Lonchura striata: one gene and its partners. The protein of the gene in region 3 binds, or shares a complex with, the protein of the main gene of each other region. Links are inferred from orthologs where the notes say so. Each region holds a gene or a part of one and is shown on either strand. Other genes may lie near its edges.

Evidence for each region.
Region 1: TUBGCP5 (region 3) and TUBGCP2 share a complex: the UniProt entries of both Homo sapiens proteins name them as parts of the gamma-tubulin ring complex. The link is inferred for Lonchura striata from reciprocal best matches to the Homo sapiens genes TUBGCP5 and TUBGCP2.
Region 2: the proteins of TUBGCP5 (region 3) and MZT1 are in contact, whole or in part, in a crystal structure (PDB 6L81), measured with the Homo sapiens proteins. The link is inferred for Lonchura striata from reciprocal best matches to the Homo sapiens genes TUBGCP5 and MZT1. Residues at the interface, in NP_443135.3 of Homo sapiens: Gln14, Gln15, Asp18, Val19, Glu21, Leu22, Val23, Val26, Ala27, Gly28, Asn36, Ala40, Phe43, Ala44, Asn47, Phe48, Arg52, Phe53, Leu54, Phe72, Lys80, Ser83, Trp84, Leu87, Thr88, Glu90, Phe91, Ala106, Ser109, Ile110; in NP_001065243.1 of Homo sapiens: Glu23, Val27, Leu28, Glu30, Ile31, Ser32, Ile34, Leu35, Asn36, Thr37, Leu39, Leu44, Ile46, Cys47, Val48, Arg49, Leu50, Cys51, Glu52, Gln53, Ile55, Asn56, Pro57, Glu58, Ala59, Leu60, Ser61, Ser62, Val63, Ile64.
Region 4: the proteins of TUBGCP5 (region 3) and TUBGCP4 are in contact, whole or in part, in a cryo-EM structure (PDB 9I8M), measured with the Xenopus laevis proteins. The link is inferred for Lonchura striata from reciprocal best matches to the Homo sapiens genes TUBGCP5 and TUBGCP4. Residues at the interface, in XP_018102626.1 of Xenopus laevis: His233, Leu234, His235, Leu238, Ile241, Trp242, His245, His300, Met301, Thr302, Asn304, Cys305, Ser308, Val309, Gln312, Ala392, Ile393, Leu395, Asp396, Lys397, Arg410, Leu441, Asp442, Tyr443, Asp444, Asn445, Val446, Gly447, Glu448, Ala449; in XP_018110859.1 of Xenopus laevis: Met1, Ile2, His3, Glu4, Leu7, Tyr12, Pro13, Gly14, Ser15, Ile16, Gln29, Pro32, Phe33, Glu60, Thr63, Gly64, Ile84, Arg87, Ala88, Arg91, Arg101, Leu105, Gln109, Leu112, Pro115, His116, Leu117, Val178, Gly181, Val182.

Annotation. Positions count from the first base shown.
Region 1 is NC_134609.1:37,380,777-37,388,299, forward strand, and holds the start of TUBGCP2 (gamma-tubulin complex component 2), read right to left. Parts: upstream 3,472-7,523; 5' UTR 3,428-3,471; intron 1,695-3,427; 5' UTR 1,561-1,694; coding exon 1,411-1,560; intron 702-1,410; coding exon 573-701; intron 268-572; coding exon 91-267; intron 1-90. Other genes in the region: ZNF511 (zinc finger protein 511), read left to right, coding at 3,477-3,701, 3,800-3,873, 4,728-4,929, 5,025-5,149, 5,444-5,629, 6,147-6,216. UniProt on the Homo sapiens protein: Component of the gamma-tubulin ring complex (gTuRC) which mediates microtubule nucleation.
Region 2 is NC_134604.1:50,634,562-50,642,345, reverse strand, and holds the start of MZT1 (mitotic-spindle organizing protein 1), read right to left. Parts: upstream 3,076-7,784; 5' UTR 3,029-3,075; coding exon 2,980-3,028; intron 1,155-2,979; coding exon 1,009-1,154; intron 1-1,008. Other genes in the region: BORA (protein aurora borealis), read left to right, coding at 4,032-4,187, 5,257-5,363, 7,684-7,729. UniProt on the Homo sapiens protein: Required for the recruitment and the assembly of the gamma-tubulin ring complex (gTuRC) at the centrosome.
Region 3 is NC_134604.1:84,368,609-84,376,135, reverse strand, and holds the start of TUBGCP5 (gamma-tubulin complex component 5), read right to left. Parts: upstream 3,472-7,527; 5' UTR 3,456-3,471; coding exon 3,295-3,455; intron 932-3,294; coding exon 878-931; intron 794-877; coding exon 685-793; intron 1-684. UniProt on the Homo sapiens protein: Component of the gamma-tubulin ring complex (gTuRC) which mediates microtubule nucleation.
Region 4 is NC_134613.1:24,617,652-24,625,207, reverse strand, and holds the start of TUBGCP4 (gamma-tubulin complex component 4), read left to right. Parts: upstream 1-4,406; 5' UTR 4,407-4,447; coding exon 4,448-4,525; intron 4,526-4,642; coding exon 4,643-4,771; intron 4,772-5,348; coding exon 5,349-5,471; intron 5,472-5,857; coding exon 5,858-5,911; intron 5,912-6,364; coding exon 6,365-6,421; intron 6,422-6,974; coding exon 6,975-7,054; intron 7,055-7,556. Other genes in the region: ras GTPase-activating-like protein IQGAP1, read right to left, coding at 1,424-1,475. UniProt on the Homo sapiens protein: Component of the gamma-tubulin ring complex (gTuRC) which mediates microtubule nucleation.

The DNA of each region.
Region 1 (7,523 bases), on a different chromosome or scaffold from region 3:
TTTACTAAGAACAGCACCAAGATTTAATATTGTCTGACTAACAAAAGGGATGATTTAGTGCCCAGAGCTTGGGAAGGAAGGGCTTTGTACCTGCTGTGCACTGGAGTTGGCCGTGACGCTGCCCAGCTGCTTGTGCAGCTCCTCCAGCTCCTGCAGAGACATCTTGGAAGTGGATGAGGGGATGGAAAAATTCGTGCTGCTGCTGGTGGCTGCATTTGCTGCGAGTTCTGCCCTTTCTTTAGCATTTTGTTGCAGATAGTGGAGTGTCTGTACACAGACAAACAAAGAAAAGGTTTTGTGAATGCTGGGCAGTACAATCTAAAGCAAGAAACACACGGCCATACCCTGGCTGTGCTGAATCTAACCACAGATCTCTCTGTCCCAGTTTTCCATGTCTTAGGGAATTATATCAAGAGGAGCACAACTCTCAGTAGCGTTTTAATAACTCAGTGAGAGCTAGTACTGGTTATTTGTTGATTTTTACAGATTTCACTGAACTTTAATTCAAGCTGGGCTTGAAATCATTGCATTGTTGCAATTCTTCAACATTCAGTTCTAAACAAGGAACCAACCTCTTTGTCTTCAGTGAGCTTGGACAGCAGGTAAACTAAAGAATCCAGATGTCTAGTGTTTTTAGACTTCAGCTCATCATACTTCTTTAGAAAATCTTCAGGAGTTCGAGAAAACTCTGCTATTTTCACCTGTAAAACACCACGTTAATATTAAATGGAGTTACAATTAAAATGAAATGGAATTAGAGCAAACACGCAGCTCGGGCTACAAAGATGCCAAGTTTCAGACAGAGTTAGAAACTCCCTAGCACTTAGAGCTCGACTGGTGGCTTGCTTTTAAAAATGAAAACAAAAAGCAACCTTATAGCCATAAAAGCTATCTGAGTTATATAGCTATAGAAGAGTCTGGTCATGAGCACCAGGCTTCAATCTCTAATATTTGGGTGATATTCAGAAGAAAAAAGCCACATGTTAGTCATATAACTGCATTTTATACAATTTTCATTTCATCATGGAAGCAAGGAAAGGTTTGGGTGGGAATGTCAAGGTGATCTTGTTCCATCCTGTACCACGGGCAGGGACACTTTCCACTATCCCAGCTTGCTCCAAGCCCCATCCAGCCTGGCCTTGGACACTTCCAAGGATCCAGGGACACAGCTTCCCTGGGCATCCTCCCAGGAAACAACTCCTTCCCAATATGCCACAAAACAACCTCCTTGTTTGAATTTTCCCACACCCCAGTCCTAACAATCCTCTTCTCCCTCAAGGATTCCACCTCTTCCCACGCAGACCTCCCACTTCACACCCAGAACCGTGGCCCCAGACCCCACCAGAGATCTTTCTCCCTAGATGGACACCAACAGGACGAGCTGCTGTGCCCAGAAGAAGGGGGCAGGACCTTGGCACTGTGGGCAGAGACGTTGGTGGTGACGTAGGGCGTGCGGTTCTTCTGCAGCAGCTCGATGTAGACCTCGGCGCCCTCCCCGTCGTGCACCCGCAGCAGGCTCAGCAGCTCGTTCACGTCGTGGTGGATGCGGAACTCGCTCATGCTCCCAGCTCGGGCCACCAGCCCTGGGGACACGGCAACCAGGGGTTATTCCTGCTCCCAGGGGTTATTCCCGGCTCCCAGAGGTTATTCCCTGCCCCGCCAGGGAGATGCTTCTGGAACGTGGAGATGTTTGGCTGGGATAAAGGAGGAGGAAGCAAATCAAGCAGGGATACTCCTTGTATGGTTTGGGTTGAGAGGGACCTCAAAGCCCATCTCATTCTGATGCCTCAGGTTTAGCTTTTGTATTTTTCAGGTTCTCTGCTGCTTTAGTGTGTAGGTCTGGGCTTCACATTAAGGGATGGTGAGATCTCTGCACAGAGGAGGGAGACAAAACAATTCCTTCTCTAGCTGGAGACCAAGGACAAATGATTCAAATCTCAGGCCCAAGAGCACAAACAATGGTGAATTGAAGAGAAAAAAAGAAAAAAACCAAGAAGGATGGGACTTCATAACCTAAAGCTGGAATTGGACAATGAACTCCAATGTACAAATGGAGCAGAACTGATCAAAGTGAGAGCCCCTGTGAGCGCTTGTGCATTTTGGGACCATTTTGGTTCATCTTGGGTGCAGCCCTGGCTGGGCTCTGGTGCTGCCCAAGGTGGATCCACTGAAGAGATCCTTTTAATAAATCCCTGCTTTATTCTTTAACTCTGTCTGGCTCTGTTCTATGTCAGTCTTCTCAAGGCATCAGTGCCACCCCTGCTATGAGTAGGGACACCTTCCACTGTCCCAGGCTGCTCCAAGCCCCAGTGTCCAACCTGGCTTTGGGCACTGCCAGGGATCCAGGGGCAGCCACAGCTGCTCTGGGCTGCTGAAGGTGGGACAGCTCCAGCCAGGAAGTCTAAGACTGGGGGAGACTCTTAAATTGGGGCTGGCCAGCAGAGGATTTTTTCATTCAGAAGGAATGCGGGAAGGACTGCTTGGTGTCCTGACAAGCTGACCCCACTGCTGCTTCTGAAATCACCACAAAGCAGTTTTCCCCAAGTTTAGGGGTCCTCCTATTCCACTGCCCACTTTATTAAATTCACTCAAACCCTGGAGAATACCTAAATAACAACTTTAATACTGACACAGAGCCCTGAGATGAGCTCAGCAGGTCAGAGCCTAGTGCTAACACCACCCAGGCTGTGGGTCAATCCTGGAATGGGCCATTCACTTAAGAGCTGGACTTGATGATCCTTGTAGGTCCCTTCCAGCTCAGAAAATCCTGTGATTCTGTAAATCAGACGTAAGACCCTGAGCCAGGAACCATGGAGATAAATAAGAAGCTCCATGTGACACCTTGCAGAGATTGCATCAAGCAGATACACTCCATATCAAACACAAGGACACACTTCTGTTTTGCCAAGATCATGGAATCACTTCGGCTGGAAGGGATCCCTGCAAGCCGTGGTCCAACTCTCCACTCAAAGCTGACTCGAGTTAGAACAGGCTGCTGCAGCCCAAACTTAAATCTCTTTAAGGGCGCAGCTTCCCCAGCACCTGGGGCCGTGATCCCGCTGGGATTTCCCGCGGGCTGCCCAAGTGCCGGGATATGTGGAATAAATAAATAGACTCCACACCCTGGGGTAGTTATGAAGTGGGTGTGTACTGTCAGCGCCCGGCACAAGTGAGCTCGCTCTCCAAGACTTGTGCCCTGAGCTTTAGTCTGACCCAAACCTTTATTCCCAAAGGCAGGGAAGGAGGAGAAGCTGCGGGAGCTGGGCTGGACTCGGAGCGGCCTCCGAGGGCACCGCACCCGGCACAGCGGAGGGATCGCCACCGCCGGCACCCCCCGCACCAGCCCACCCTCCATACCCTGCTTGACCTTATCCCATTCTATTAAATAAATTTAATTCCGTTTAATTCAATTCGATCTCATCCCTACCTGCCCGCCCGGAAACGCCGCCGCTGGCGCCGGGAAGCGCGCCCCGCGCATGCGCGGCGGGCGGCGCGGGAGCCGCCTCAGCGCGCCCCGCGCAGGCGCACTGCGCTCCCCGCCCGCCATGCTGCCGCTGCCGCCGCGCCTCCGCCGCCTCCTCCGTGAGGGGCTCCCGCCGCTCCCGCGGGACCCCCCGGCCCCGCCGCCCGCTCCGCCCGCGCCGCCCTTCTCCTTCGCCCCCCGCCGCCTCCGCCTCGGCCCCCAGCACCCGCTCTTCGAGGTGAGGCGGCGCCGCGGGGCCGCTCCCGGCGCGGTTCCCCCCGGAGCTGCGTTCTGCAGCCCTGCCCACAACCACCGCCGCTCTCTGCTCCTCTCTAGGATGGGGACGTGCACAGGCATCTCTACCTGCAGGGCGTCCTCAGCAGCCTCCAGGAGGTGGCCGAGAGACCCAAGTGAGTGAGGCGGTCTCGTCTGAGCCCTCCCGTCATGGAATCAAGGAATGGTTTGGGTTGGAAGGGTCCTTAAAGATCATCTCGTTCCTCCCCCCTGCCATGGCAGGGACACCTTCCACTGTCTCAGGTGCTCCAAGCCCTGTGCAGCCTGGCCTTGGGCACTGCCAGGGATCCAGGGGCAGCCACAGCTGCTCTGGGCACCCTGTGCCAGGGCCTGCCCACCCTGCCAGGGAATTCTTCCACTGTCCCAGGCTGCTCCAAGCCCTGTGCAGCCTGGCCTTGGGCACTACCAGGGGTCCAGGCACAGCCACAGCTGCTCTGGGCTGCTGCAGCTGGCACAGCTCCAAGCAGGAAGGCCAAGCCTGGAGAAGAATCTTGGTCTTGCCAGACAGGAAGTACTTTTGAGTGCTGTGTGAGATTCACCTATGGATAACCCTTAAAAAAATCACTGGAGTTGTCATCCACAGCTGCAGCGTTTAGCTTAGACAGCTAATTTATTTATTAATGGCTTGTTTGTTCTTCACCGAAGTACCATTTAACAGGAGCCATAATGGTTAATAAGTTTCCAATGGCAAATAATTTTCCAGCTGCCAGCATCACCACGATCTTTGTTCCATTGCACCTGGCATTTAATTTTAAGTATTAGGCACAAAAAAATGCCACAAGTGTTGTGGCTGTAGGTGTGGGCCTAGTGGAAGGTGCCCCTGCCCATGGCAAGGGGTCGGAATCAGATGAGCTTTGTGGTCCAATCCAACCCAAGCCATCCTGGGTTTCTCTGATAAGTCATCTAGGGGGCATTTTTGTAGCTGAATTTAAAGCTTTAATTTCAGCTTAAAGTCCTGATTTCCCTGCAGGGTGTCCGAGTTCAGCTGCCACATCTCTGGCTGCAGCCAGGTGTTTGACACACTGGAGAGCTACGAGCACCACTACAACACCCTGCACAGGAATGTCTGCTCCTTCTGCAAGCGCTCCTTTCCCTCTGGGAATCTCCTGGATATCCACATCTTGGAGTGGCATGATTCCCTCTTCCAGATAATGGCTGAGAAGCAAAATATGGTGAGCTGCCATGCCCAGCCCTTGCCTCGTGCTTGGTATATGCTCGTTTTTTTTTCCAGTTATGTCTTTTTTCCTCTCTCCTCCCTGCCTTTCAGTACCAGTGCCTGGTGGAAGGCTGCCCAGAGAAGTTCAAGAGCAGCAAGGACAGGAAGGATCACTTGGTGACCGTGCACCTTTATCCTGCTGACTTTCGCTTTGACAGGCCCAAGAAGGTGAAAAGGTAACTGCAGAACTTTCCTCCTGTCCTGCAAGGAAAGTGTGAGGGAACTGGGATTGTTCAGCTCTGAGGTGACCTAAGTGTGGCCTTACAGTGGCTGAGGGAGCTACAGGAAACATGGAGAGAGACTCTTTACAAGGGAAATGGCTTCCCATTCCCAGAGGGCAGGGATAGATGGGATATTGGGAAGGAATCCATCCTAGATGCACTTGTTTCCTCATGAAGTACCTTTGACTTCCTTGGCTCTGGGCTCACATGGCAGCTCCTCAGCCAGGATGTAAAATTTTGTCTCTGCAGTGGCTCCAAGCACACAAGCTCTCCCATGGAGCAGGGCAGCAGCGTGCCCATGGATGTGAGCGTGGAGATGGCAGAGCAATTCCAAGTGAATGCCATGGAAACAGGGCCTGAGGAGAACATGGAGATCTCCCAGCCTGCAGCCAGCCCTGGCCCCTCGCTGCCAGAGAAACGCCTCTACAAATCCAGGTCAGTACTTTGGCCTCAGGGGCAAAATGGGCTGGGAGCACTCCATCTTATCAGCCCTTTGCAGCCTGCCTTGGGGTGTTGCTGTGCTGAGGATAAACCAGGCAGGAATCCCAAGAGTGCTTCCAAAGCCATTTTTGAAAGAAGGAAGTGTAAGGAGGAGCAGGACATGGGTACGCTGTGGGAGCTGTGTTTGTCTGCCCACCTGATCTCTTCCCAAGGTATTGCAGGATGTTGCTGCTGCTCTCCTGCTCCTCAACCACTGCAGCTACCCAGGTGTTATATTTAGTAACACCTTGTTGTAAAGAGCCCTCCAGGACAGGAATGTGCAGAGTACACTGGAATCCAACCAGTATTTCACCTGTTCTTTAAATTATTTGGTGATTTACATGTCCTGCTCCTCCAATTCCTTGCTCTTCCCAGTCTGGGAGCTTAAAATGCCCCACAGAGCATTAAGCATCCCAGCGAGCTTGTGAGGGCTGGGCTCCTAACATGGATTAAAGCCTGTCTCCCTTTCCAGGATCCCATCCACAATTTGCTTTGGACAAGGTGCCACCCGAGGATTTAAAGGACCACGGAAAAAGGTCTGAAGGTCGGTGCAGCAGATTTGTGCAAGATGAGCAGGCATGGAGCCAGTGCCACCAGGGATATTGCCAGTTCCCACTCCATGGAATGAACCACCCAAACCAGTTAAAGCTCTGCCAGCATTTGGGCACATGTTCCTGATGGCAAACAGAACTGGCAGCACCCAACTGAGTTAAGAGTCCTCAGGATTTGAGGAAAGGGAATCCAGAACGTGTGGTGAAGTGTTAAGGAAACTAGCCTGCAGCTGAGGCTGCATGGGACTGGGTGTTTTACTTTTTGCCTCTTGAGGGTAAAAAAATGGATTCAAGAAGTTACAAGATGCCAACGTGACTGTATGGAAGCTGGAATAACTGAGAAAAGAAAACGAGGAGAAAAAACCTCATTGGTCCTCAGTTCTGCCTTCCTCCATCTCACTGAAGTCTCCTCTGCACCCTGGAACCTGCTCTGAGAAGTTTGTCTGGGCCAGGAGAAGCATTTTCACTGGGAGTTCAAATAAAGTGTTTTCCAACCAGGTGAATAAATAAAAGAAATTTTTTACAAAATTGCTTCATAGACAATTTAAGTGCTTTTTTGAAGCCCAGGAGAGTCAGATGTGTGGAATGAACCTCCCTTCGTTTGCTGCAAATGGTGCCAAAATCAGGTTGGGATGGAGGTTATTTTCCCTCTTGCCTTTCCTTTCCTTTGTAATTTCATGTTCCTGGAAAAAACTGGAAACAGAGCCACTGATCTTGGGGTCCTGGTGAATCCTGACACTCAAAAATTGTGCACAAGGGGAAAAAAAGAGGTTTCTGGAACAATGTTTATCCAAGAAGCTTAGGATCTATAATTTTAATTTTTTTTCCCTTCCCCCTCTCTGTGAGGAATAGAAGATCAAAGGGGCTTTGAAAAATCCTTGCAAATGGGAGCAGGGAATGATGTTTACGGAGATGCAGGAGATTTCCCAGTAAGTTTTAAAAAGCTTTGCTATGTTTAAAACTCATCCAGCTTGTCCAGCCCTAATCCCTGCTCCGTGGGCTCTGGAGAGTGCTGTCTCCAGCAAGCAAACCCTGCAGCCACACAACTGCCCAGGGACATCTCTCAGCAGGGACTAAAAAGTCACTTCCCAACACTAAAGCCCCGAATGAGGCATTTTTCCCCACACTGGGATATCTGGGAACAAGCAGCAGGCCCCACGCTACTGGAGATGCCTGCAGGCTTTGGCGTGTGGTGGTACAAAGGTTGGGCAGCAGCCCAGTCTGCTCTTCCTTACTGTGTTCAGGAGTTCTGACCTGGGAACTCCTTTTTCCCAGAGCCCAGGGTCCTCGAGTGCCCA
Region 2 (7,784 bases), about 34 Mb from region 3:
GGAACTACGCTAATCGTAACTGCATAATCATACTAACAATTATTTAATTAAGAATATTAGTAATTTTATCACTGGATAACTACAGTCAACAAGGCACAGTTGTTCAAGACTGACATTGGTAGATTTTAAAGCAGTTATGGGACAAACAGGCGAAGGAAAGCAAAAGGAATGGGAAACCAGTGAAAGCAATGGAAGAAGTAAAACAACCTTCAATTCTTTATATACAGTTAAATGCATATATAAGAATACCTTTAAACATAGACACAAATACAAAATATGCATGAGCATAGAAAAATACTAAGTTAAAAATAAAATATGAAGTTTTCCAGAATAGAAGCAAGATATAGGTTTCCCCTTTCACTTCTCATAAACAGCCTAATATAAGATGCAGTAATAAAAATCCCTGACTGTGATGTTTAGCTAAGCAGTAAAGAATGATAATCCTTTAAAATGCAAGTGAGATTTGTTTTAAAAACCATGGTTACCCCTCTAGTAGTTAAACAGGTAAAATACACATATATGAAAAGCCCTATATATATATATATATACACATCACAAAATTCCCTCTTTCTGTGGGAAAGGCTCAAAGCACAGGTTAAAGGGGGAAAAGCAATATGTTAAGATGATGTTAACAAGCTGGATGTTCCTGTTTACAAATACTGCTGCATACTGTTAAATCTGAGGTTGTAATAATGAGGGGGTATTGGTTAAAGGAAAAATCTATTTGTGATATTATGCAGGTAAGGGGACAAATGGAGACCATAATAAAAACTTGTGAATTTTGGTTGTGTTTTTTTCTTCAGAAGAGTTAGTTTAATTACTGTATTTCTAAGAAACATTTTATTTGTACCATTTCCTGTTTCATGTTCAGTTGTTTTCATTGCCTCCTCTATTGAACAGCTAAAATGAGTCATATCAAAGTACAATCTGCAAACTGAAGTACAGCAAGTTGCATGTGCATCTGACTCTTAAGAACAGATTTATAAGCTTTTTAAACTAGAGCATTACCTTTAGAGCTTCTGTAGCCTTCCGCAGTTCTTTAATAACAGAAGATAAGGCTTCTGGATTTATTCCTTGTTCACAAAGCCGCACACAAATAGACAATGTCTCCATATCCAAGCCAGTGTTTAATATTCTTGAAATCTCAAACAGAACTGCAACAGAAAAAAAAATAAAGCGCTTTAATTCCTACAGACTATGAAATTTCAATGATCAAGACTGTTCTTCATCAACATTTAGATTCTACAGCACTTCAACACTTTGAACATAGCAGGTGTCCTTTGTTGTTTGCAACAATGTTTATGCTCAACCTTCCAGCATAAGCTAAAACCTACAGCTTCTAACATACACACCATGCTTTCCTGGTTCAGGAAATTTAATATTGGATAATAGGTTTTGAAAGAGTAAAAAAAAAAAAAAGTGAAACATTCAACAATTACACCTGCCAATTAGGTAAAAGGTGGGCTATAAGAACACTCTGTGCTTTTGGACTCCAGATACTGATGAAGTCTTTCTAATGTTTGGGTGTTAAGGCAGTGTCTTTGGCAGAGAGACGCAGCAGTTTCTCCGCAACAATTCTGAGCTCTTAACAACTTTGCAGACAACAACTGCTAAATTTCTGTATCTATCCTAAATAAAATATAGTTACACAGGAAGCCTGGGCTCCTAAATCTGAACATTAGTGCACTTTCCCTATCTATTCTCAAAAGCCTTACTTTGTCTTTATATCCGCCTGTTGTCCCTCCTGTCGAAATCATTCCTGAAAGAGTGAATTTGTCAAGTACAGTTACCAGAACTTATATTCTTTGTCCTTCCCAAAGAAATCACTCTCTATCTGCACAAAATGGTTTTACCCTCTTGCAGCATCAGAGAAGCCATAATGATCCTACTAGTCCTGCCTTGCTTCCAGCAGCAGGTCAGAGCATGAAGATCAGTGGCTGAAATGCTAATTTTTACACCAGCTCAACTCATGAAAGTCTGTATCAAAAGACCCATTTGTAACAGCAGCCGTAACTTCAAGGGAAGTGAGGATGCTGAGAAAATAAATTCACATCACTATCCCTGAAACATTCCCCCTAGACTCTACTCCCTTCATTAGGGCATTTTCAGAGAAAGGTTCCACATTTAACAACCCTCAACAGATTTCCACCCTGCATATAAGCTTTCGGTATAGGCGTTTTGTGGAATTCCAGAGTTTCACACTACAGTGCGAAACAATTCCAAAACATGCCATCCTTTGACTCCTCGGCCTTTCTAGTCAGGCTGAAAATGAGCACACGAAACTCACTCACCTGCTCACGTTTCTCATGGCTTATCAGTGTACAAAGTATTTCCCAGTACCCCTTCTCTCACATTCCCCATCCCACAACAAACAGCACCTGAGGTTGGGGTTGGTCGTTGCTTTTTTTTCCATATCAGAATCCATTTTAGCTCTGCAGCACTGACTACCGTCCTCAAAACTTTTTCACTATTACTGCAGTTTGGGCTGTTTTGAGGGTTTTTTTTGCCGTGTACTTTGTTTTTCTGACATGAGCCACGAAGAACAATGGTCGGGGCTCGGTCGGCGCGGGCGCTGCCGCTGACCCCGGCCCAGCGCCGCTCCCTCCTCTCCCTCCCGCGCACTGCCAGCCCCAGGCTCGGCATTTACAGCAACCGATACAAATAACGGGAAACGAGAGCAAATATAAATATATACAGACGCTGAAAAACCCCTAATATTCTATGTTAAATACCGAGCGAAATTTAAAAACGAAACAAAACCATAAAAAGGAAAAGCCACGTCAGTTCCAAAGGCACTCGCTCTGCGGGGGTTGAGCTGTTTCGCGAAGTGAGACGGAGTGAAACAAGAACTACACGCTGCATCCTTCGGCAGCCGCAACCCGCGCCCCTCTTCCCCAGAGACGCGTCCCTGTGCACGGCCCACGGCGGGGCCAGGCGTCCCCTCTCCCTCAGCAGTGGCTGCCCGGGGGTGTCACGCACCGTCCATGGTCTCCCTCACGGCGTTCAGGCTGGCGGCGTTGCTCGCCATGGCGACCCCGCCGCGCCCGGAACCGGAACGCGCCGCGCACGCCCGGGCCCGCCGGCCCCACGTGACGTCCCGGCGCAGCGCGAGCGCGGCGGGGGCGGGCTTGCTTTGAATTCGTGCGGCGGCGGCGCTGGCGATTGGCCCGTTCGAGAGAGGGGCAGCGCTGCCATTGGCCCGACTGTGCACACTGCGCTCCGTGATTGGTCAGAAGCCGCAGAGGGGGCGGGGCTGGTTAAAGGGCCGCCCGGCGCGGCGGCGGCGGGAGCGGCGCGGCGGCGGCCGGGGCCGGGTAACGGCGGCAGCAGCGGGCTGTGCCCGCATCCTCGGCATTCCCGGCGGGCCCGGCAGCGCCTCCGCGGCGGCGGGGCTTGGGAGAGCGCCGAGCGGCTCGGCGCGGTGGCACCGTCCCGGGGAGAAGCGTGAGAAGGTGCTCAGCGGGGCCGCTTCCCCCGGGGCTCCCGTCCCCTTGGCGGGCGGGGCCCGGGAGGCGCCCCCGGCCGGAGCCCCCCGCCGCGGCCCCGCGAGGGCCGGGCCGCCCCCGGCCCGTTGAGGCGGAGGCCGGGCGGTTTTAGTGCCCGGACGGAGCGGGAGCCGCCCGGGGCGTTATTGCTGCCCCGGCCGCTGGGGCTGCCTGGTCACTTCTGGTGCTTAGTTGGGTTTTGTTTGTTTGTTTGTTTGTTTGTTGGATTTTTTGGCTTGTTTCCTTGTTGTTTTGCCCTTATTTGGGTGTTTGCTTGGTTTTTCTTAATCCCTCTTTTCACGTTCTTTCTTAACTCGTCGTCGTAGTTTCTGTTTATTTGTAATTGTAATTTGTACCGGACTTATTTATGAACTTTATGTCATTAAGTCCAACCAGTCCTAACTTCGTTTTTGAAATGTTGCTAGTGCCTTCAGATGACTAATTCTCTCTGCCCAAAGCCTTCAGGGTGGCCCTAAAACGTCAAAAGTGTGATTTCATTGTTTTCCTTAATTTTGTTCTCCTGTTTTTCAGGTATAGCTTGGTGTTATGGGTGATACAGAAGAAGCTAAAATGCAGATAGCACCAGAAACTCCCGGACGAGTCACGATCCTGAATCCTTTTGAAAGTCCCAGTGATTATTACACTCTTCAGGAGCAGATTGTTTCCAGTCCTTCAGTCTTTAAGTCAACGAAATCCTCATCTGTAAGATCTAGTCGTTAGTTATGTGACTGTAAAGATATAGTGCTAATATTTTCAAATGCATTAAGGGTATTTTATTTAGTGTACTTCAACATATGTACCAAGCTAAAGAACTTCGGTGGCATTTGGAGTTTCTTCTCTTCACAGAACTGTGCTGCTTTTAAATACTAATATTGCCACTTAGTCTTCCTCCCTGCCTAAATTTATTTTGTCTTTAGATATTAGAGATTGGGTGCTAAAACCAGTAGAAAGTAGATAAAGGCTAGTTGTTGATGAGATACTCTGGTCCTACTTACAATGCAGAAAACCAGTTTCTACTTAGATGCTGAGTAGGCTGGTTGCAAAACTTGATTGCACTTATGTTGTGAGCTGTTTGTGTATTCAAGTCAATGATTTTGTGTATCTATAGCTGCCTTTTTTTTTTTTTTTGTTGGAAATTATATACTGGTTTGCAGTTGAAATTATTTTCTGATAAGCAGTAGAGGTGAATCTGCTAATGAAACTGAAAAGACTCACTTGGTAGATAATTTTCCAAATATATTTGAACAGTACCTTATTAAATAAAGGGGTGAAGCTTCTTACTTCTGAATTGGATTTTGTTGTGTCCTATGTATGGCATTTATGAGGGAGACATTGCAGAATGTACAGGAATTGCAGCTCTGGTCTTCTTAGAAATGGGAAGTGAAATGGGATTGCTCTATTATTTGGATAACTTTAGTTAGGATACTGAGTTTTTGTGGAACCATCGTTTGGATTGAAGAAGCAATTTCAGTTTGCGTGAAGTTATGCATCTTTAGTAGACCTGTCCATAGGAATTGAGAAGAAACTGACACCTCATTTTGTGAATACCAGCTTAATATTATGTTGTTAATCCTTGTAATACCACTACCAGCAGCTTAAGAAGCCTGACTTAATTCTTTTTAAATAGATCATTTAAATAGAAACACTTTTGATTGCTTTTGACAGAAACTATATGGAAGCTGTGGTTGTATTGTTCCATTTAGATTTGTCCTGTGGTTTTATTTTTCCCTTTTTGAACAGCAAGCATTAAGATGCCTGTTTCTTTTTTTAGACACCAGGAAAATTCAGATGGTCTATTGATCAGCTTGCTCTAATAAATCCTGTGGAAATAGACTCGGAAGACATTCGACGCCAGGGAATGTATTTGAGCCATGCTAGGTAAGTTATAATCTATTTTTATGCAGCTAACCTAGCTTTAATACTAGAACAGTTGTTCTTTTGCTTTATTAACATTTCAGCATAGCATTAAAGACTTTTAATGAAAATCTTCTTACACAATCTTTTACTTGATGTGGATATAATATTTAGATGAGGCTACCTCCATGTTGCTTCCTTTTAATGGTAAGAGCTGCTGATCCACTCTGATTGCAGTTTGGAAGACAACCAAATAAAAGCAGCTAGTGGAAGCAGAAAATGTCTTGCCAGTGATCATTACCAGGCTACCTCTTCTGCTCCTTGTTACAACACAATTTATCTTCTCAGAATGCTCCTTGGTGAGGCTTTGGTCCCTGGGGCTCCTGCAGAAGGGTAGACATGTTGGGGAAACTAGCTGGGGAAGCCCCAGCAGTCTCTTTTGAAGGTATAGACTAGACTTAATGTGAAGGAGGGGGCTCCAGTGCTAGTTATTTGAAGTAGTTTGAGGACCTTATCCTTAATTTTTTTCTCTTCATTGAAAATCTGCATGAGGAAAATGGGTGGGTTAAACAGTCTTGGTGTTTGGAGCTTATCTTGAGAGATAATTTTACATGCGGGTGGTAGAGAATGACATGCCAAGGGGATCCTTAGTGGTGAATCCTGTAGACTCCTGTACATTTCTCAGACATAAACTTGCAGAAAGAACTTCTCTTCATGGTATGAAGCACTACAGCAATAGAATAATAAATCAATCCTCTCTAGATCAGGTTGCTTAATCATATCCACCTTGATCTTGAATGTTTCCAGGAATGGGGCATCTACTCCAAGCAACCTGTTCCAGTGTTTCAATACACATAATAAAAAATACTGTGAAATAACTTAGTGGTTTTAGTGTCTGACCTAACCTACATCTCTCTTTTTGAATAGTAGAAGCTGTAGGACTATAACTGTTCCCAGACTCTAACTGTATCTGAGTCACCAGGTTTTAATGTTTCCTGTCCTTCCTTTAGCACCCGGTAGCACCCAGACTAGTGCTTTTTGTATATTTTGAAGCCTTAAGCCATGTTTTAATTATATTGTTTCTGGAACCTTACTCAGTCAAACTAGCTTTAATGGAGATGACTTGGGTGACAATTCCAGTCATGATGAGTGGGATGGCCTATAGATATAAAGATGTGTTGTCTCAGTGGGTTCTTTCAGTTTGTCCCATGTTCCACAATCACTAAGGTTCATTTTTTTTTAAATCATCTGCTGTGACTAGAAAAAGGCTATTTTGACTATGTGTAGATCTGCTATGTCCATGCTTGCATATTTTAGTGCATACATATAAATGAATACACAGTGATTGTATCCTTGTTTTTTGGTACAATAACTCTGGCAAGTCCTCCATCGAGCTGTCATTTTAGCATCATCAGGCAGATGTTATAGAAGGTGGCATGTCCAAACATTGTACATATATTTCAAGTCTGATAAGAATAAAAGAGAGAGTTGTGAGAGTTTATGTATTTGTCACATCTATGTGTGCTTGTATGTCTGGTACTATCTTGTTATCTGAATTTCTAAAATTACTCAAGGGTAGTTCAGGTTTATGAACTGTGAATGAAAGTACTGAGTGGTTTTGAAGCTTATAAATGATGAACATTTATAAACTTAAAAAAATTTTGCAGTAAATTACATTGTGGTAACTGAAAGTCAGTCTTGAAGGTGACCGTTAGAGGAAATACAAATATAGAATCTCACATAGCATGAAGTAACTGAAGTAACTACAATATTTTTTTTTATTATTAAGTTAAAAGCTGCTTAAAGAAATATAGTTTTTGTTAGAACAAAAATATGGTACTGAAGAAGCTGTGGCAGACTGGGTATTTGACTAGAGAACTCTGTGCTGGGAAAGTGGGCTGTGTCAGGAATTTGAGTATGCAAATTCCAGGAGTATTTTCAGTTGCCCTTTAATTCCTTACACCTCAGTTTTTTAGTCTGCTTGCTTTATAGTACAAGTCTAATCTCATGTGAACTTTAATAGTGATACCTTCATATGACATTATTTTGGAAGATCAGTAATAATTAAGTTTTTGTCCAGATATGCTGTGTAAACAGAATATTTGCTATTATGTATTTTTAAATGGTACAAATATTTTTCAAATCAACTGAATTTATATTTAAAAATTTATAGTATGAGATTATTGCACGTAAGATTAAAATATCATAATATTTAGAGTTTATCGCAATTTAATTTATAAAGTTTCTCTTGAGCATCTATAAAGTATTATGTGGCTGGATTTTACATCTTTTCCTACTTATGTTATAGTTTTGATAATTGAGTTGTTTTTTGTTTGTTACTTAGAATGGATAAAGAGACAGAAGACAGAAGGCAAAAAGCTATTGAGGAGGTAATAAAACTTTGTGCTACCAAATATTGGTTTGTCTACAGAAAAGATCTACATC
Region 3 (7,527 bases):
CAAAAATCTAGAGACTACAGTATAGTAACTGAATATGTGTAAGGTATTAAGGGCTCCTGGGTTTTCCCCACAAATTAAAAGGAACCTAGAACACGCAAAGAAATGTCAGTTCAAGGAGAAGTAAAATCAGACTGCAACTCAGAACACATGACTCTATTAAATAACACCATTATATGGAGCACCACCTCTTAAATCAGAAGCTTAAATCTACCAACAGGAGAAACTTTCTAAGATCCAATTCATTATTACACTGGAAAGAAAACTGAGACAACTTTCATGATATTCATCCAGTCCATATCCTAAAATGATTTGATACAAAGTGTATCAATGGTGAAATACACTCAACAGTCTCAATATGGAAACTATAGGAGTTCTCAGTTCATTCTTATTTTAGTACAGACAGGAATCCAGATTCACCTAGACTCCAGCTACAGCATTTGTACAATGCTGACTTTAAAACACCTGCTCTACAATGAGATCGTGTACTTTAAGTCATGAAACTCCACATGCTGAAACTCTGAGAAGATGAATTTTGATTTCTGGAAATCCATGACCTGAACAGCAACTCCAAAGTCCACTACTAAATCATCTGAAATTTCCAACACGTTACAATTGAAGCTCACACTGTCAGTGTAAATGCAAAAGGAATGGAAAAAAAGAACAAGGAAATTGCAACATACATACCTTTGTTTCTTCAGTACTTGGGAGCGGCAAGTTCAGAAATTTTTCTGTTAATCTTTTCCAGCTTGCAGCTTTTCCAAGGTCAGAATGAATTACCAATTTTTCATGTATTCTAATAACACAAATAGTATCAAGAAGGCTTTTTAAAAATATATATAAAACCAATGCATTATTAATATATAGACATAAAACTTACCCTTCAATTGTTCTCTCTACTTTATGACTGTTCACATCAAGAAAACGGTGAAATCTGTATAAGAAATCTGTATTAGAATATTTTTAAAAGGAAGCTGAAGTAAGGAAGAAAATAAAGCTGATTTACGTATATGAAGACAATATTACTGGTTTAATAATGCACACTTAATTCAGCAACAGCATTAAGTATCAATAAAATTAAATCTTGACATCTCTTAGCTCAAGAAGGATTAAATATAATTGCCTGAAAAGTAGAAAAAAATTGAATGCAGGTTACATCTAACCACCATTCTAAGCTGAATGGAAAATTACCACTGTACCAGCAAACTAAGCAATTAAAGTATGCTGTCTGCTATGTCAAGTAGATCAAGGAGATCAAGAACTATGTTGTCAAAGGCATTGGTGTCAAAGGCACAAAATTATCTGGGAGCTGCATCACAGGCATAGGCAAAACAAACACCCACATGGGAAGGCCTCTAAACCCAAAAGAAGCTCCTTTTTTAATGGATAAGGGAGAATGTCTAAGTGAAAAGAGAGCTTGATCAAAAATAAAGATAGATATACCTACAAATGTGTATATATACGTATAGGGACAAAACAGGAACTCGTGAAAGGTAAAATGGACTTTGGAGACTAAATTAAGCTACGAATAGGTTCTTCAGATACAGAGATTAAAAGACAGGGAGTAAGATGTGATAGCACTGAGCACAAGGTCAAGACACTCTATATGCCCTCAAAATAAAACCAATGTTTCCAGCAACAGGTGACAGAAAGTGATAATATTCTCATGACCACAGACAGAAAAACTGCTGAATCCCAGTTATGAGCAACAGTTAAGCTAAATAGACTGAAATTCAAAAGAAATATGAAATAACCTCAATTCAAAAGTAATGAACTAGAAAGTGAAACTCTAAGGCAGCTAGCAAGGATTTTTATTAAGTAGCACTGCAGGATGAAGATAGACCCATGTTAAAGAAAATAAAAAAATACTTTGTTAACTACAGACACATTAAGCTGATTTCAACTGTGTATAAGGATTTGGAATAAGAGCATGATAGAATATAGCTCTAAGTAGGTGGCATTTAGATTTAAGAAAATATATAATTTATTACAGCACATTAGCTTACATAGGAAATCATTAATTCAAAATCGTGGTAAGTATAAGAACTGGAAGATTTAGAATATCACACTAAAAAGACAATAAAAAATTAAATTAAGAATCTGTCCTGAAAAGAAAAATCAAGCTGCAGGGAAATTATTAGTGAAAATTCTTTAGTCGCTTACTAAAAGCTTCAATTAATGACTAACATACATGCAAAAAAATATCATTTTTTTAGGCAAGTTGGGAACATCATGAATAGAAGAGTATTAGAGTGCTGCATGGAAATAAATAGGTGGATCAAAGAACTACAGCACAGAAACATCACCAAATCTAACAATACAAATCACAAGTTTCACAAATTCAAAACAAAGGAGAGTTTCTGATACAACCTAAGGTCTCACTGTTTGTAAACGTAATACTAGATAATTTCAGGCTGATGTTCCATGCACATTCTTGGACAACGATTCTGTCATTAAAAAACCTTCCTCTTCCCACCTGAGGGTTTCCTCAACCCAAACTGAGGGTGCGATTTACATGCTAAAATAATTTTATTTGAGCCTATTAGTAGTTAGGATTAACAGATGCAATGCAGTTATGCTACTGCTCCTCCAAAAACGCATTTAATCAGGATGAAAAATGTAAAGTAGTATTGATTTTGCATGGATTAGCTACTAGCTGCATACGATTTCAAAGAGGCAGCAATTAGTGACAGTAGGGGTAATTGAAAATACATCGTGTAAGAGTTTCAGAAGCTTTCACAGAAAACATTCTGAGCTGGAAGGGACCCACAAGGATCATCGAGTCCAGCTCAAGGGGGTTAATACACTGGAACAATAACTGTGATAACTGAAAACTGTGTGAAACTTGAGCAAGGGCAGTTTAGGCGGCAGTCTAAAGGGCTACTACTATGTATTGCAAATTAATGAAGACCACGCTTCTGACAAGCCCAAATAACACCAAACACGTTCTCTTCCAGCAGACCGATAAGCCTCTCACACAAGCAGCACAGCCTTCTTAGCCAGAAGGTTCATCTCAATTTGGCAGAGTCCTCCTCGCTTGCTCTTTATACACAACCATAATGAATCTCCCTGCAACGAAGTTTTGGGCGGCTAAATGAACACGCTGAAAGGCACCTTCTAGCAGAGCAGGAGAAAATCCCTAAAAGACCCAGCTCCAAGCGCGTCGGAGCAGCAGACATAGATCCCGCGGCAGACTCGCACACGGCGGACGGCGCTGCGGCAGCCAGGGCGCACGGCGGGCCCGGCCCCGTCCCACGGCCCGCGGCAGGCACCGGGACCCTCCCTGCTCCCGCTGACCTGAAGTTGGACCAGGCGAAGCTGAGCGCCGCCTGGAAGCGCTCTCCGCCCAGCTCCTCCTCGGGCAGGCTGGTCACGCAGCGCACCAGCGCGCGGACGGCGCGCTCCTGCTCCTGCTCGAAGCGGCCGCGGGGCCCGGGCGAGGCCAGCGGCGCCGCCATGGCCCGGCCGCGGGGCGGGGGGACGCGGGGGACACACGGGGACACACGGGGACACACGGGCGGCACCGCCGGCGCGCCCCGGGCGGCCGCCACCGCCTCCCGCCCCTCCTCTCGCGAGGCTTCCCTGCGCCGCGCATGCGCGTGGCGGAGCGGGGCGCGTCGGCGGCGCCCGTGGCGCGGCCGGCCGGGGGCGGGAGGCGGGAGCGGGAGAGCGGGGCCGGGCGGGAGGGTTCGGCACCGCCGGTCCAGCCCGACTGCTGCGGCTTCCCCCGTCACGGAAAGGACTCCTGTCTTCCGAAACAACCCCGTAATCACCCGGGATCAGTAACTGGCAGTTGCTGATTGATTACAGAATCTCTTCGGTTGGAAGAGCCTTTTGAGATCACCGAGCCCAAACACCACCATGTCCACAAGGCCATGTCCATGTCCAGCCCTTCCTTAAACGCTTCCAGGACAGTGACTCCACTACCTCCTTCCTTTCAATATCTAATCGCCCTTTCTGTGAAGAAATTCCTTTTACTGTCCAATCTGAATTTCCCCTGGTGCACATTAAGACTATACTGTTTGTAGGATGGTTACTCATCCAAAGAAGGACCTGTGTGCTCCTCCCTGACTGAATCCCTGCTTTTGCACAGCTGGAGAAACCACTGTTGGTGGGTGCTCTATACACAGATTATGAGCAGGACATCAGGAGGGCTGTGGGAAACCGATTTCTCCCAGTTCCATGTCAAACCTCTGCTGAGGAGTTTAAAATGCTTTTGTCTGTTGACATGGTTTTGTAGGACTGCAAGGTCAACAGCCTGACTATGAAATTCCTTCTGGAAATAAACTAGCTAAATCAATGGGAAATTGTATTATTGTTCAGTTCCTGTGGAGGAATTGCTGCAGTTGTCTTATCCTTCACTGTTAGGCCTTGTCCTTGATTGAATCAACAATTACCGGGTTGTAATCCACCTCGCCAAAATTTTTTATTCCTCTTCTCCATTAAGAAATACACCAGCACAGTGAAAGGAGTAGTCAGTAGTGGATCAGGAGAAGTGGTACGAAGAAGACCTCAGAAATGCCCTAATAAAGTTAAAATATATTTAATGTACCAACATAATGTGAAGAATTATGTAAAAATGTAGTGGTTAAGATAAAATAACTTTGAAATTCTTCAAGTTAGGGCATAGTAAGAAACACTAGCACATTTTTATCTGGGTGGGCTACAACCTACCTTAGGGTTGAGATGCAGAACTGCAAGGAAGTGGTGGCCTGAGTGTAGAGTGCTCAGCATGAGCATGAGATCAGAGGGTCTCTGCTCCAGAGCCTTTCTTATAAAGCCTTAGCTTAATGCACATTCAAAGGAAAAGTCTAAAACTTTACTGGTGTTCCCCAATCTCCTCTTGATGTTGCCTGTGTTTTCCATATTAGATTAACAGCAGTCTTTTCTTTTTACTCTTTAGCTGATGTAGCCAAACATCAGTCATAATTTGTCCTGCTATATTTTAACTGTCTGCACAGTCAGTAGACACTCCAGTGGTTGGTACTGTAGTAATTAATAACTGGAATACTGTGACTGGCTTTTAAACAAAATTCTTATATGCTGAGACTTTAAATGTTCTTTATACAACATAACTGTGGTTATCACTTAACCCCTATGTATTTAAGCATACCTGTGCTACCCCTGCAATCACTGTTCAGACTGGAAGTTCCAGGCTTTGCAGCATGTGTGTCACTTGTGTCCTTTGTGGTGAGAGGAGTGTGGCAGCCACCTATTTCAGCACTCCATCACAAAAGAAATAGTGATATTTTTGCAGTGAGAAGGATTCCAGATCTTAGCAGCTGCCCTGTCACAAGCTGAGTATCATCAAACATGGACTTTAATGACAGTGGTGTCTGAAAGGTTTCCTGCTTCCCAACTGTCTTGTACAAGTCCATTTCCCTTCATACCACACCCTCAGCTGTGCTGTCTGTGGAGCAGCATGGTGAACCGAAACAGGGAATAAGTTAAAAATAGTCTTGTTTCTGCTTTGCTAGGGGTTTTAACTCTGATTAATTCACTGATCTATTCCTTTGGAGGTGTCAAGAAGAGGGAAGAACTACAATCCCAGGCAGTGGAAAGCCTCCAGGCAATGAAAGTACGTACACCCTTTGTGACTGGTGAATCAGAAATCTGTTGCTGGTTTTCAAAACAGGATACCAGGGCTGGGGCAAATGTATAACATCTGTGCTGCCTCAGTCATGAAAGGCTTTAATGGTACAAATATTTTCCTTTTTTCCCTCATCACAAGCCTCATTTCTATTTTTGTTTTGGTATTGGTATTTGATTTCAGCTGGGTGAGGGAACACTGGGCAGGGAGAAGGGATGAAGACGTGCTCTAGAAGCAAATTTAAACTGGGTTTTTAAGTAAGGTTTAATACTAGGAAGCTTAATAGTTTACTTTGTTATTCCTTTATTTTCATGTGGTAACTGTCTCTTCTCACCCAACTATCCTTCCACATCACACTGCTGGAAATTAGAAGTATTTAAAGTAAAATCTTCCTTTCTCATGGGATTAGATTATATTTGGGAGAGGTGTCCCTTTTTGTCATGTCATATTACAATGTCACCTGTGTCTAGTCACATGTTGGAGGAGGAATTACAATGCAAACCATTGGTGAACTGTGTATCCTTTAGAGAAACTGCTCTGAGCAGGCAACCTCTCCTCTGCTTTTCAATCCTAACTGATGAGCCAATTTGCTGAGCAGCATTCTAAGGCAGGTGAAGGAGTGCATGAGGTGAAACACATCAGGCTGCAAGGGATTGTTCAACAAGCCAACCACAGGAGTTCATGCTTCATGCTTCACTGTTAGCACCTCTGTTACCAACAAAGCTTTGGGTAAATTCCACAGAACAGATGGACAGTATATTTAAAACACTGCATTTGAAGAAGTACTTAAGATTTAGGGATTGGGGGTGTAGTGAATCTATAGAAACAGTCATTTAATAATTAGCTGGGGGGAGGGATACAGAACACGTTGTGGCTTCACTTTAACACCGTCTTTAGGATATATGAGACTGATGTGCTGAGCTATGTTTTTATGGTCATGCAAAAGTCAGTTCAGGCAACTGAATATTAGAGGAGGCTATAGCTCATCTTTACACTATAACTCATGCAAAATTGCCTCTGAAAAGCAAACTGTAACAGGAAGGAGGGCATCTGATAACTTTCTACTGCAGTGTCTTTGAAGTGCACTCTAACTTCTTAAACTCAATTCTTCATTTGATGGAGTTTTGCAACTGAATTTAAAATTTAAAATTTAAAATTTAAAATTTAAAATTTAAAACTGAATTTTAATTTAGGATAGATTTTTAAAAATGCTGAGGTTGATGTTAAGTCTGCATTTTATAATGGTTTACACTTCCTGTTAATTGGATGTATATTTAAATAGACATTTCAGGGCCTTAGTTTAGAGTATCATTAATTGTAAATCCAAAATATTTTTTGTGCAAGACAGATAAAGATTTGGCATAAGGTTCAGCTTAGGTTTATGTGATCCATCCCATCAGGGCAGTAGGTGTAGCTGTAATACCTTGTATTTGCTTTTATGGAAGACCCAGTCACAGGACATAGAAATCCTGTTGTATCCCAACTATCACTATGTCCCCCTGACCAGCAAATTGTTAGAGTATTGAAATATCTGCCAGTGTTCAAGAAGCATTTGGACAATGCCCTCAGATACATGATGTGCTTCCTGGGGCTGTCATATGCTGGACCAACCATAGGATTTTGATGATTCTTATGGTGCCATCCAACTCAATATACTCTATGATCTCTACTGTTACTGAATAGTTACTGTGAACTGTCAGGCTGTAGCATAGTGAAACTGGATCTTCATTTATTTGCTAAAATGATGATGCTTTACTCTGACTTTTTTATTGGATATAGTACATTTTCCTTTACTAATATTGTTGCAAAACGTATTGCAACAATAAAAATGGAGTTGCCCTGGTCACAGGTTTTCTTACCTGTTTGTAAATTGGGTTGGAGAACCATTCTTTTAATCCTTTGTGGGAAGAAAGCTTGACCTCCACAAATGGTAGCAAGTG
Region 4 (7,556 bases), on a different chromosome or scaffold from region 3:
CTTCCTCAAAAGCACATCAGTGACCACTTGTCCCCTCACCAATCCTCCAATTTTGATAGCAAAAGATTAAGGAAGGACACAAATACATATTAACATCATATAACCCCCTCTATATCTTTATAGTCCACCTCTAAAGCAAGGTAGAAATGCTACTCACACTCCCTACATGGAAGGGAATCATTCAGATTCCCAACCTACATGCCATCTTTGGATCACGCTAAAGACCTACATAGGGGTAATATGCCTAAATCTTCTAGATTTTGTGTGTTCAAAGTCTCAGTAAAAAAGTCTTCTCTTCCCATACTTACAGCTAAATACATCTCATGTCAACTTTTTTAGGTATCATGGACCAATTTAACAAATAGGAAATGTTTCATACTGTTAATAAAGCAAAGGTTAGCTTATACCTAAGATAATTTCAACAACAATCTATGGTGCACTTGTGAGACCCCAGCAGGAACACTGGCATCTTCAGCACAAAACCTGCTAGAGCACGTCCAGAGGTGGGCAACAAAGATGCTCCGGGGCCTGGAACACCTCTCCCACAGAGGCAGGCTGAGACAGTACGGGTTGCTCAGCCTGGAGAGGGCTTTCTCTGTGGTCTCTCTGTACTTAAAAGGGAGCTTATAAAAGGAAGAGGGAAATGCTGATAGGACAAAGGGGAACAGTTTAAAACTAGAAGTGGAGAGATTTAGAGCAGATGACAGGAAGAAATTCTTGAACCAAGAAGATAGTGAGGCAGAGAAGCTGTGGCAGCCCCATCCCTGGAATGTTAAAAGACCAGGTCGGACCGACTGTCGCTTACAACATCGCCCCTCCACAGCACCACGTTTTCCTCCGCCGTTGGTCATTTTTGACGCGGTATAGTAGCGTAGGTGAGCCCGCACATCGGACGCTAAGATCCAAAGCCTCCCTCTCCATAGCAAGCCCACGACAAGGCAATGAAGGTGTCAAATGGGAGCGGTGTTTCGCCCAGAAAATCGGGTGTGGTCGCCAAAATCGGCGGGAAGGCGGAAGGCAGGGCCGCCCCCGCCCCACCCCGCCCGCGGCGGACATCTTGGGCGAGGTGCAAGGCTCGCCCGCGGCAGACGACGGCCGCACAGTCATGGGACGTCGCGTTGCTGCTCATCCACTGCCTTCTCCCAGCACTCGTCTCCAACCCTCAGGAGGACTGTCGAGCTTAGACAAGGTCCCGCGCGGCACGGCGCTCATCTCGCGGGAGGCGCAGCTCGACAGGGCCCGCCAGGAGAGCCGGCGGGGCACACCGTGCCCGAGGGGCAGTCCCGGAGCCCGCGGCTCCCCCCATGCCTGCGGTGGCCCAGCCTCCCCTCACAGCGCTGAACGCTGGAAAGCACGGACGGCTCGGACTGGGCGTCGCTTGGCGGCCACGCGGATTCCCTCACCCCGGGATCCCGATACTTACAGCCATAGTGGGGCCGGGACACGGCCAGCCCGTCCACGTCCTCCGCCGCCATGGCGCTGCGCTGGGCTGGGGCTAGCGGGAGCTGGGCGCGGCTGTTCCTCTTCCTGCCGCACCGGGTGTGGCGGGGGAGGAGTCGCCCCGCCGCGCTCTCTCTCCCCGCCCCGGCCGCACCCGAGGCGTCCCCGCCACCTTCGGCGCTGCTGGAAAGGATGAGTTGCGCAGTCCCGTTCCGGCCGGACCCAGGCCCCAATCTAGCTCGGCCCGTCCCGTAAACCTGAAGGACACGGCTTGGCCGTCTTGTCTCTCCCCGGGGTCCCTCTCCCTCTCACAGGGCCAGCGCCCTGGCTCTGAATCTGTCTGTTAGCCTCATAACTAACACCCAGCTAAGCTCTCACCTAAACTCTGCCAGCATACGCGGGACACAGCCCAGGTCAACCTGGTCATGACCCACATTTTACCCTCTCAGCCCAGCCATGTGTGCGCAGCCCACGTGCGCCCCACTGTGTGCAGTACAGCTCAGCCTCCAAAGCCCGGCTGCCTCCCACATGCTGCTTCGCCTAAGCCCTCTTGCCCTGCCAGGTTCCTCAGCTGCATAGCCCTTCACAGTAGCAAAACCTGGCCTTGCTGGATGTAGCATAAACAGCTCTACTGACCAAACCATGGTAACTCATATGAAATGTCAACCACAAGTGGAAGCAGTGGAAGCCCCTAAACAATAGCAACATCCAGCAGCACTGCCACAGGAGAATCATGCCCTGAAAACTTCCTTCCCCTCAGTACATATTACTGTTGCTTTGCCTATTTCTTGTTCAAGGGTCAGAGTACTGACAGTGTCAGTCACCAGGTGTCCATTTTAATTAGTCACATGAATTTCACTGCTAGGGCATACATTTACTACCTAAGTACACATTAAGTAATTTGGAAAACCAATAGCCTCTGTTAGGAAAAGCATCCCCAGCAGGCAAAGGAGTCAATCTATCATTCTCATCTTCCCAGATGTGGATTCAGTTTCAGCTCCCTCAGTACAAGGAAGACATGGACATAATGGAACAACTACAGTGAAATTGATTAAGGGCTTGGAGCATCTGACATATGAGGAGAGCACGAGAGAACATGCCAAGAAGCAGTGGGCAATGGACTGAAAAATATAAAAAGTCCCATTTCAATAGAATAAAAAATAGTTGTATTCTGAAGGTGACTCAACACTGGAACAAGTTACCTAGAGAAGTTATGGAGTCTCTGTCCTTGGAGAAAATTCAAGCCTAACTAGGCATAGTCCTGGACAAACCTGCTTGAGTTCACCTGGTATTGAGAAAACAAGGTGGGACTGGAGACTTCTAGAGGTCACTTCCAAAATCAGTGATTCCATGAGCCCATCAAAAAGTATATTTACTTACTATATATACACAGGTAACATGGAACAGGACAAGAAGACACAGCCTAAAGCTGTGCCAGGGCAGGTTTAGCTTGGACATTAGGAAGAATTTCTTCACAGGAGGGGTGGTGAGATATTGGAATGGGCTGCCAAGGAACGTGGTGGAGACATCATCCTGTAAGTGTTAGAGGAAAGATTGGATGTGGCACTTAGTGCTTTGATCTAGCTGACAAAGTGGCATTCGATCATTGGTTGGACTCAACAATCTTAGAGAACTGAATTGATTAAAGGAAGACATAATTCAATGGTTACAGAAATAACTACATTGGGAAATGCCAGACATAAATTACAAAACAAAAGGTTTTATAATACAGTTAGGATTCTATTTATTAACATTTGCATTACTTCACATGTAGCCACTTGTAAGTTATGCAATGAGAAGACATTTAAAATAATGTTTATATGTAGAATGTGGCGTGCAGAATTCATTTTGTTCCCCCTAAAAATCTCGTAACATTTTTGCACAGTGCCACAAACCTCCCTCAAAAACATCTCATTCTGATAAGAAAAATAAAACACGATTATTACATGTCATCAAAGAACCTTTCTGAACCTCTTCAAAGCTGGACTCAATGGTACCTATAACAGCTCCCCTGATTTAAGATTTCTGGTGCTTGTTATCGACTTTGCAAAATGTTTTTATTAAAAGTTGTGTATCTGTGTGCCTAATTTATTGCCTATCCTGTTCCTTGTCTTTTTCCCCCCTAGTGTTTAATGAGCACTAGTCAGATGGCCCTGCAAATATCATAGAGATACCTATTTTTCTCTCATTTCAAAATTTGAGCAACCAAAAAATTCTTTTAAGATTTTTGCTTTAATGACTAATCACTAGGTTTCCCAGAGAAAATGAGCACCGAAATCCTTTAAATAAACTACTGTTATCTGTTCTTTTGCAGAGGTTTCCAGACCAATTGTATACTGTGATATTTATGTCAAGGATGCATAACAAATGTCTAGGCCAACTCCTCAGTCTTTATTATGATGCTAGAAGTTTTGTCAACAGAAAGACAATAGTTTTATTATACTCCTCATATATGATAAACAACAATGTTGGGGCTTCCAATTTACACATAAAGCTGTATAGCTATAGCTAGTACATGCCCATATTCTTCCTACCCTTCAGACCTTATTGTGGCAAGCTGAAACAAATACAAATTAGATGACCCTTAAGACTAAACACCAATTTCTTCTAAATGAAGAAGAGTAAACATGTACATAGAGGAAAAAACTGTCAAAAATAGGGGGGGTAAATGAAAAAGAGGCTGCTAAAAAACACTTTATTAAATGACTTCATAGTTTTCAAACTAGACAGTTTTGAATAAAAGTCTACCCGGATTACGACAGGAAGTGAAGGAAAGCAGTACATAATAAATGGAGAAAGGTAAAACTGGCGCTGATAAAACACTGACAAATAACCTGAGAAAGCGATAAAGAAACCTCGTGAGGCGTATCGTAGAGGGCAGCGCAGCTCTGCTGTCCGGGACGGACGGTGGCCATCAGAGCCTCGGCGGCGCTGCACGCCGCAGCCCCGCCCGGCGCTCCCGGCGGCCCCGCCGCTCCCGGCAGCCCGCGCGGCGCCGCGCCGCAGGATGATCCACGAGCTGCTGCTGGCCCTCAGCGGCTACCCGGGGGCGGCCTTCACCTGGAGCAAGCGCGGCGGCCTCCAGGTGTGGCACGGCCCCGGCAAAGCCCACCCCGCCCCGCCTGCCCCCTGCCCCCCACCCCCCGGCCTGCGCGGCTCGTCCGTCCGCCCATTCGTTCCTCACCGCTGTTTTCTCTTCCAGGTGTCTCAGGAGCTGCCGTTTCTGCACCCCAGCGAGACCAGCGTCCTTAACCGGCTCTGCCGCCTCGGCACCGACTACATCCGCTTCGCCGAATTCGTGGAGCAGTACACGGGACATGTACAGCAGCAGGTGGGGTCACTGGGCCGAGGTATTGCCCGGGAAGAGCGCGGCAGGTGCCAGTAAGGCCAAGCTGCCCAGGACACAGCAGTGGTCCGTGGCCCATACCCGCGCTCGCACCACCACCGAGCAGAGCTCCAGAAAGCTCTTCGCGATGCTTGTAAGGGAGGGTAGAGAGCAATGAAGAATAATGAATCAAATGTAAAATCTTATTATTGGGGACGTCTTGTAATAATTTCTGACCACAGCAGACTGGCCAGGGTTTGTCAATTGAGCGGGATGCTCATGACTATCTCCTCATGATGTGCGAAGAGCCTTGAGATCCAAGAGGCACACTTAAGTGAAAAGAAGCACTGGTACCAAAGGCTCCCAGCACTTTCAGAGGTCCACAAAAGAACTAAACATCAGTCTGCTCGAGTAACTGTCATTGTGAAAAGGTTGTATTTGTTTTTCTGATCACTTTGTGGTGAGCTAAGGTGCATTTCAACAGGTTTAAAGCACTGACAACTGCTGTGGCACTGCACAGATACTACATTACTCTTCAGACTTGCACGAGTATGCTGAGGCAGATTTTATTGTTTGGTTTCAGGATCACCATCCATCTCAGCAAAACCAGAGTGGATTGCATGGCATTTATTTGAGAGCCTTCTGCACAGGTCTTGATTCAGTGCTGCAGCCTTATCGACAGGCACTACTTGACCTGGAACAAGAGGTAAAGGAGAGAGATACAGAACAAGAGGCTGTAGTGCTGCTGGCAGATTGTGGAAACTTGTAATTTCTGCAATTAATATGTTAGTAGTAGTTTCTAAGATGAAACAAGGTATTTTCCTTTCCACGTTAGGAATGCCTTCCAAATTATTCCTGTGAGATGCCATTGTAAATTACTTTTCATTCTATTAAGTGTTATCCTCTCTACCTTCAATTCTGTAAGGGCTCCATCTCTGTTAGCCCAGTGCTGTCTCAGACTACTGTGGCTTCTGTTTTCAATTTTAGAGGTTTTGATTAATCTCTGCTAGACTAGTAGCTGTCATACCTTGGGTAGCGTCACCATTTAGTGGTTGTGATAATTAATCTTCATTAATTGCTTTATCTTTATAGTTTCTGGCTGACCCACACCTTTCCATCTCACATGTTAATTACTCCTTGGACCAGGTATGTCGTGTTATTAAAGAAGTAGTGTTCTTTGCTTGTTGTCATCCCTCATTGAGTCTAATAAGAAAGTGGGTGGGATAAACGAGGCTTGTTCCATCATGTCATGTCATTTCTATCTAATGTCTCTACATCTGTAGTCCCTTAATCGTACTCAGAGGATCACCTGCACTTCAGCACAAAACTAAGGTACTCCACCTTGACCCTCACACATTCCTCACTGACTGTGTTTAGCCTTAACTACTGCTGGAATATAGTAACTTTGTGCATCTTGGTCCAGTGAAGGGAAGACATACTTCCTAGAAATTTGCATGTCATGTTTCTAATTTGTGAGGAAAGACAGGTAATAGTTTTATTAAATTATTGTGTTCAGCTGCTGTCCACAGTTACTCAAGTACAGTTTTTTTCTCTCTTCCTTACATAACAACCTACATCAATATTTCACTTGTTCTGCAGTTTCAGTTACTCTTCCCCTCTGTGATGGTCATGGTGGAACAGATCAAAACTCAGAAGGTACAGTAAACTTGCAGTTAGTTTCTCTTAACAGGTTTTCTCTTTAACTGATGAAGTAATTTCTGCCCCCATCCCATATTTCTGAAAGTAGAAAATAATGTCGTTTCAGTAATGGGTGCCCTATTACTAGCTCTACTGTAAGTACTGAGATTATTTTACAAATTCATTTACATTGTATTTGATTTTTTTTCTCTTATCCCATAATCTTTGATGTCTTGAATTTTATAGGACAGGATGCTGGTAGTGGGAATCTTTATTTTCTGAGTCTGTTTTCTCTGGCCATTGCTGGAAATAAAAAAGGCAGAGGCTAATGTTTCGAGAATCCAGAGATGCTTACATTTTTTAAGGGAAAGTATTGAGAGAAGCTTGAGTGTAGAGCCACATATAGAAGGTCTTTTTCATCACTACACCAGCATGTTACATCTTTCTTTCAGTAAGACTTGTTCAGTTTGTGAAGGCATTTTTTTGTTAGCTGAAAGTGTAATGTTTAAATGTATAAAAAGGTCAGTACAGATCCAAATAACAGACCTGGTCTAACCTTTTCTTTCTGCAGATTCATGGGTGCCAGATATTGGAGACAGTCCACAAACACAGCTGTGGGGGGCTGCCTCCTGTTCGCAGTGCTCTTGAAAAGTATGTAGATCCAGTAAAACTATTACTTCATTCTTCTGAAGTTAGTGTCAAAGTGTTTCTTACTTGTTGGAACAGTACGTGCAAAACAGCATGGTATAAAATTAGGAGTACCATGCAGGGGAAGACTGTCACCATCCCCATTATTTATCTAAAGCAGGTTTGTGGTGAGAATGAAGTCTTTCTCCATATCTAAGGCTATTCTGCATATCACTGATCTTTGATCTTTCAAAATGATAAATGTGAATGTGTGAGTGTTGTGATGTTTGTATGTCCTTGTGGAGAAAGTCAAACTACTTAAAACGTCCTGTTTTGAGTAGAAACAAAAGCCATTGCAGACTTACACCTCTGGTATACTAGCAGATTTCCCTGGAGAAGTCACATGTTCAGAGGATACGACTTAGTACTTGCCCTACTGCCTGGCTGACCAACTGAACTTTCTGAAACAACATTCAGTGAGGTTTTGATTATTGTGTGCAAAGGCCTGACTGACCCGTTTCGCTTG